Coturnix japonica: one gene and its partner. The protein of the gene in region 1 purifies or fractionates together with the protein of each later gene. This does not show direct contact. Links are inferred from orthologs where the notes say so. Each region holds a gene or a part of one and is shown on either strand. Other genes may lie near its edges.

Region 1 (3,650 bases):
ACATTCTGAGATATAATTAGTCACTTTTAAAGGGGCACTGTCAGGCTAGAAATCACATATCCAGAAATCACATATCACACATATCATGTGTGTGCAACTGACAATTCCCAAAACTCTTAACACTGAAACAGCTGTGCAAATCTAATTGACCAGTTGCCACTTGCTACTCTGGGTATGTCATTTCCCTCCTCTCATTTCTACACTGTGGACAAAGAAAGGTGGCAGAGCTGTGGTTTGAATCACTGGCTGATTCTCACTGATTCGGATCTGTTCTGCTGGCAACCAAATGCAAGAAAAGCACAGTTTAAAATAAGAAAATGCAAGGGTTAAAAATGCTTTTTTGATTTTCAAATAAAGATGCCAAGCACATCCACGCTCCACAAATCAGCAGGCTGTGTAAGGTGAACTTTGTGGGAATTTCAAGCTTAAATGTCATACATTAAGGGGCTAAATCTGTCTATAGGCGCACAAATAAAGAGGTTTGCTTTTAGATATGAAACTTCCTCAAATTGGTCAGCGTAGTTAGAAACAGCTGCAGAAATCTCAAAGAGTGTGTGTGGGAAGGTGCCATTCAATACAGCAGCAGCTATAAACCGCACCTTTTTGCCTCCCAGGGCCCGATTATTCTTGTATCAGATCCAGCCATCACATGAAGAAGTCATTGCAGAGAAACACTCACCTATCATGATTCCTGAAAAAGCCAAAATTAAGGCAGCAACCAATGCTGAAGTCACTACTGACAAAACCAAGGAGAGAGGGAGATGAACCGTTGGCTCAGCTGCAACAGAGACAAGAGGAAAAGGAATTACATTTGACACGATCTTCCAGCAGAAGCTTTGTTTTTTGCAGCTAGATTTGTCTGCTTTTCCTCCCATTTACTCATCTGCTGCTTCTATAGCGTAGGAGCAACCTCTGATGCGATCGGCTCTCAGGATCGATGAACTCAAATATCTCATTGTTTTACTTTCCTCAATTAATACCAAGCCATTAAAACAGATGGTTTGCTATCAAGGAATTAACATGTGCACTCCCTGTATATGAAAACAAGACCATAAAAGCTGGGGGTAGAAGGCTGGGGAGATGGAAAGAACATTAAATAGCCTGGTCTAGAGTGCCGCTATCAATGCCAGATCAGAGCAGAAGGAGGACTGCAATATATCATCTCCTAAATGCATCTAGTCCAGGCACACAAAACTGATAACATATGCACTGCGAAGTATTCCCTAGCTGCACCCTCACTTGGATCACAAGCCACTCAATGACCACCTATTAAGGTTTACTTCACCCTGCAAAATGACCACGCTTTTACTCACTTTGCAGGTGCCCGTGGTAAAAATACAGAACAATTTTTCCATGTCAGTGACAAAGCTGAGAGCAGGATCCCAAAAGCCTGGGGTCACTTGCTACACTGCCGGGCAAGAATATGAAATAAAACCTTGTAATGCAGTTCTAAGCATTCGGTTTCTTAAGCAAGGCAAGTACAGGCACTGCCTTTTATTTTCCTCTCATGCAGAATTTTTTACAGATCCTGCATATACACCTTGTATCCAAGCCCACAGGAACCGCACTCCCCTTTACTTGTACATTACCTCGGGGTTCTTAAGAGAAATAACCTGGAAATTTAGCTGAAAAACTCCTTTTCTGAGAAAACTTTCATGATTTCAAAGCAAAATGTGACTGTTCTTGCAACCAGACCTGCTGCCCTTTGCCTCTTGCAGATAAAACTTGGCTCACAATCCTCAGTGCCCAGTATGTGGTTGATATACTACAAAGCAAACCAGAGATGCTGCTCTTTGCACCATACCCCTGCACTGATATGTCTGTGTTCTAGCAAAATAACTGTACAGCCAATAGCAGCAGAAAAGAAGATAGATAACATACAACAGGAGCCATTTTTAAGAGAGAGACAAGATAAGATTTCCAGATGTCTTACAGTCCAAGCTATAGATTCTGACCATGTGTTTTCCCTGTTTCACACCTTACCAGCCTATCATCTACTTACCTATGCAAGACACACCATCCTCAGCCAAGTCTGTGCCTGGCTCACAAAAGCAAATGACTTTTTGAGTCTCAAGATCAACACGGCACTCGTCCATCTCACAGTGACTGCAGTTAAGGTGCAGCCTAATATCCACCTCTCCATGCCCCTCTGTCACTAGGGAATGGATGAAAGAAGCAAAGTTAAATACTGGCAACATCGTTCATATCATTCCCTCGGGCACTGACAGAAAAGGAGGCACTATGGCCACAGTTGCTGACTGTGGTGGAGAAAAGCCCCATCTAAGGAACTGTTTTCTTCCCACTTTTCATGGTTGCTGTTCTCACATAGAAAATAATGCCCAGCTACATTAACGTCACTGCAGCTGAGGTGCTCTCAGAAAATATCTGTCACGTAGATATTTTCTAAACGCAGTGAAAACACCCAAACAGTGACATCTGGGCAAACACCGGCATAGAGATAGCTGGAGTGGCAGTATTTCTGGGGAGCATTTATACACCACTGCATTGGCCAAGCAATTTTTCTCCCTCTTGTTAAGAATGACAATAACACGTATCCAAAGGTTTCTGAAGGGTCTTACAGATGCAAACTAGTCTTAACATGGAAAGAAAGCCACTAGAGGAGACTGCAGACCAACATGAATACCTTTAAGTGCTGGAGTGTATAAAGTACCAATCGGATTAATAAAGGACACACCATCCTCCCCATCCACCTCTGGGTCATTGTCCTCTGCAGCATTGCCACCTACGTCAAACCAGAAGTTACCTTAACAGACCAAGGCGCATTAGCACTAAAATACAGATAAGCATTGCAACATGCACGGCTTCAGTGTATTTAGGGAGACATCCAAATGAGAAAAGAGAATACATCAAAGTATTTAAAACATAGGGATCACCTAGTGAGTTTCGGTATGAAACACTGGTCTTTCAGGTCTAGAACTTCAATTTATAGCAGCGGATTATTACAGCCTTAGCTCTGTTTTTAGGCGAACTGTTGCAAACTAAGGTATGAATTTCATCTTTAACCATTTGGATGCTGTGAAAACACATAAGGCCTTCTCAGTATCAATGTGGCCAAGAGACTGGAAAACACCAGTGCTCAGTTCAGTATCCTTGCTGATCCAGGTATGTGTCAGCAGAGGGAATAAGTGATCTGATAAACCTTCTTCTCCTTTGCACCCTGAAAACAGGGTGGTCCACCAGGAATGGGGACTGGAGGAATTTGCTCTTCAGTTGCTCATTTGTGCTTGGGCATATAAAACATTCTAGGAGCTAAGTACGAGCAATCCATGAACAAGTCAGAAGCATAGTAAGGTCCGTGTATTTCACAGAAGCATGCAAGGATCCCCCCACCCCCCACCAATAATGGCTTTTCCTCTTTAACCATCTTCAGTGCAAAGCAAAATTATATCATGTGAGGCATTCTGTTGGGAAAAGAAGCATTACACAGAAACATTGGTACAAAACATGCACTTATTTAAACTCATTACTTCCTCTCAGAATTTCAAGTCTAACATGGGCTTGATTTAAGCTGTGGAGAACCAGGGGTTAAAAAGTCCACCACAGTGCAGATGGCTGAAGAAACTATGAGGCCCAGGAGATTAAGGATTAGTAGAGATCTTGAATCTGGTCCACACCAGTTATAATCAACA
Region 2 (3,650 bases), on another chromosome or scaffold:
TCTGAGCACTCGGTGTGTGGCTGGTGGCACTCAGCTGACGTGTGATGTGCCCAGCTGAGATAAAGCACTGCTACAAGAGCTCTGAAATAAGGGGTCCTGTTACACAACTTCTGGCTTTACCAGATCAGCTACTGACTTAAGCAGTGCCTGTTATGGAGCTGCTGCCACCTGCCTCCAAAGCCATGCCCTATGCATGGCAACAAGAGCACCTGGCCAGGATATGCCCCAATACCCCTCGAAAGGATGTCTGAGATATGTGGGGTCTGTGGGGATGCCCCCGCCCTTTACCTTGCAAGCTGAGGGTCTTCAGCCTGAACTCAGTGCCATAGAGGACCACGAAGCAGTGGGACTGATCCGGTCGGAAGCACGGATCCTCCTGGTACCGGTCAAAATCACGTGAATTCTTTCCAGGACGAATCTCTTTGATTTCACGAATATCCACTAAGAGACAACGTGGGGGAAAAAAACCACAGGGGATATCAGCAAAGAGCTCGAAATCACTGAGACAATGAAGGTCTGTGGTTCCTTACGGGAGAAGGGAGGGCAGTGCAGCGCTCACACAGCCACCGCAGCATGGGGGAGCTGCAGCATGGCAGGATGCAATGTGCCAGGATGCAATGCATGGGAGAGAAGAGGGAGCTGGAGAGATGCTGGAGAGGGCGGCCACAGCGTCCTTCCCAGAGGACATTCTGGGAAAGGACATTCATTACCATCAGACAGAACACAACAGCAGCAACAACAGCAACAAAAAAACCCCAACAAACCCAACAAACCCAAACCCGAGAATCTTTGCTTCCTGGAAAAAATAGTTTCTGAAACACCCGAGGGAATCAAATAACAACATTTCTGAGTCACGTTTTCAAGGCAGACGATGCTTCTGAGCAATGTGGGATGGTGATTACTGCAAACCTGGAGTCTAATTCATCCCAATTAAACTCCACTTACCGCAGTCACTGCGCACCGATTTGCTTCTTGCTTCCATTTGCTGCAGTTTGAGAGCAGACACAAGTGTGAGCTGCCCAGCAGCCTGCAGAGGCTGACAGCACTGGGTTGGGTTGTGAGATGCTCGTTCCTAGCAAACCCAATAGCAGGCTGGGATGCAGCCTGGTGCTTGTAACAAACCGTGCAGAGGGAGCATAGGATGGCCTGGCACAGCCATATCCTGCCTGGTGCTGCAGTAGCTCAAAGCTCAGCAGCCAAGGCCACACGCAGACCCAGCTCCCCAGGTGTAGAGACAGCTGAGCCAGCTCCCTAAAGCAGCAGATGCCTTTGTAAGGCACCAACTACCCCTTGGATACCAGTGGCCAGGAGGTTCATCGCGTCCCATTGTCATCTGTCTGTGTGTCACATCCTTAGTGACATGGCATGTCATCTAAAGTAAAAACGCATCACAGCTGTGGTCTTTGCGTCTGTGATGTGCACAGCAAAGGCTATTCCTGTCCTAGGACCTGACAAAAGCAGTGGGAACGAATGGATTTCATGGCACTTTACCAGGCAATAAAGTACTTGCTGCAAAGCATCCCTGTGGGGTAGAGGAGGCTGAGCTATCCTTGCAAACTGCATCCCCAAAATGCACACCAGGGAGAGCACCCAGAGCAAGAGGGGAGCCCGGCAAAGGAACGTGGTGCAGGGAGCAGCTCACGGCTGCTGCTATGAGCACCCTGCACACCGAGCTGTTAACAAGCTCCGGCCCACGCCTGCCTGCAGCTGCTTGCTCATCTCTCATCCTCCCAAACATACCCATGTGCACTGGGCGCATGAGGGTTTGGTTTCTGCCCTCAGCCTCCCCAGCCCCCTCACACTGTGGAAGGAAATGAGCTCTCAGCAGGAAGCACTGTGAGCACAGATGCCACCGTCCCAACCGTGCAGCACTGCAATACTGCATCCCTATAGCATCCCATGTTCCCATCGGGCAGCAAAGCCCCAGCAGCAGCACAGGACCTGCATGCAGCCTGCAGGGGAGCAGAGGGAGGGTAACTCTGGCTCTGTTACAACACCAAACCCTACTTTTCACCTGCATCAAAACTGAGTAGTATCCATCAGCTTATCCCAGTGAAAAAAACAGCGAGAAATGTCTTCTCTGCAACACAGTTTCTCCCAAACACAACCTATGTGACAACTTCTGGTCTTCCCACAGCTCCCAGGGAAGGTCTGAAAGCACATCAGGTGAGGAAGGTGGACAAAAAGACCCAACTCACAGATGCGTGCAGGTAGAAAAGAGAGCGATCTGTTACGTAGCACCACAGGGAATAACACAGCAGTGGAACACAAGAAGTGGAGACCAACATCTTATATCCTATCTCAAAGAAGGCAGTAACCTTGACACAACAAAAGCCTATTTCAGAGGGAAGAGCCATCTCTCATCAGGATAGATTTTCACAGTGACAATAGCTCATCCTCTCAGCCCTGCACACTTTCCTCAATAGATGAGACTAAATGGGATACTGCGATGGTAATTAACTGCCTGTGCACAGAGATGTGGTGCCGGGTTTCTGCTCCTTCTCCCTGGCCACACACACGGCCATCAGCACTCAGGTTTCTGGATCCCACTGCTCTCATTGCTGTGATGTGCAGGCACCTCTCCTCCCTTAGGAAAGCACACAGGTTAAGCTCTTTTTCCTTGCAGCCTTGGCTCGGTTGTGCCATTGCCATGGCTCGCTCTGGCAAGCTGCTCCATCTCACTCACTACCCACAGCAGCAAACTGCAACCTTTGCTCTCAGCTGCTGCATTTTGCTATGAGGTGATGTCTGTGTTAGCTGAACAGCAGAGGCAGCTGCATCCACAGTGAGTGCCTTGGCAGGGAAGATGCTCAAAACAGATCAATGGGCTGGAGGCAGCAGGGAGCTCCTGGTTTAGCCAGGATGGATGGGAGCAGCCTGATCCTGACTGACCACCAGCAGTGGGATGGGACTGAGTGCTCTGCTCTATGGGAGCCCCAGTATACCCAGATACAACCACAGGAGCTCAGTGGGCACATAGCTTCCTGCTTCGCCTCAAGCTGCTGTTGCACCCCTGAATCACGTGTCCTACAGCTTCTAAGCTCCAGCTCCTCCCTGTACCCCCAGAAATCCTCAGCGAGGGCAGATGGGCAGGAGATGAGGTGATTCACAACTTCGCATCTTTACAATCTGGAGCAGAGAGGTGAAGGCTCTGCCCAAACACTGCCCTGCTCCTACAGGGCAGCCCCTGCCTCACTGTTCCACCAGCCCTGGCCTCGTGTGGGTGACCTTCAAGATCTCACAAGCATCCTCCCAATACCAAGAACAGGCTGGGGGCTGACGGCCGCCTATCCTGCATCATCAGCACATCTCTCCAGATTACCCTCAAATGCAAGAAAGCACACGTTAAAAAAAACCCAAAGCTGGTCCCCCAAGTGAGCAAAGCAGGATGCTGCTATCTCACCATCTCTGCCCACAGCCCAGCAAGCAGCAGGCACGTGAAGGCTGCCAGTTTCCACCGTGTGGCCTCAGCCTCCAAGGCCAAAAAACTTCATACTTGGCTGCTGCCTCCCCCCAGCACCACCACCCTTAAAGCAATGCATCCCCTCTGCAGACCAAACACGGCCCTGGGCCACCCTTCAGTCACCAGCCCGGCCTGTTTGAGAGGCAAAAGCTTCCAGTGACTCAAATGGAAAGAGGAAGGTCTGCAG

Evidence for each region. Proteins that work in one complex are often made in the same cells at the same time.
Region 2: the proteins of ALK (region 1) and PLCG1 purify together in Homo sapiens (affinity purification with western blotting; 3 studies listed by BioGRID, with this or other methods). This does not show direct contact. The link is inferred for Coturnix japonica from reciprocal best matches to the Homo sapiens genes ALK and PLCG1.

Annotation. Positions count from the first base shown.
Region 1 is NC_029518.1:10,021,400-10,025,049, reverse strand, and holds part of ALK (ALK tyrosine kinase receptor), read right to left. Parts: intron 2,744-3,650; coding exon 2,645-2,743; intron 2,156-2,644; coding exon 2,003-2,155; intron 779-2,002; coding exon 680-778; intron 1-679. UniProt on the Homo sapiens protein: Neuronal receptor tyrosine kinase that is essentially and transiently expressed in specific regions of the central and peripheral nervous systems and plays an important role in the genesis and differentiation of the nervous system.
Region 2 is NC_029535.1:4,202,973-4,206,622, reverse strand, and holds part of PLCG1 (1-phosphatidylinositol 4,5-bisphosphate phosphodiesterase gamma-1), read right to left. Parts: intron 442-3,650; coding exon 289-441; intron 1-288. UniProt on the Homo sapiens protein: Mediates the production of the second messenger molecules diacylglycerol (DAG) and inositol 1,4,5-trisphosphate (IP3). Plays an important role in the regulation of intracellular signaling cascades.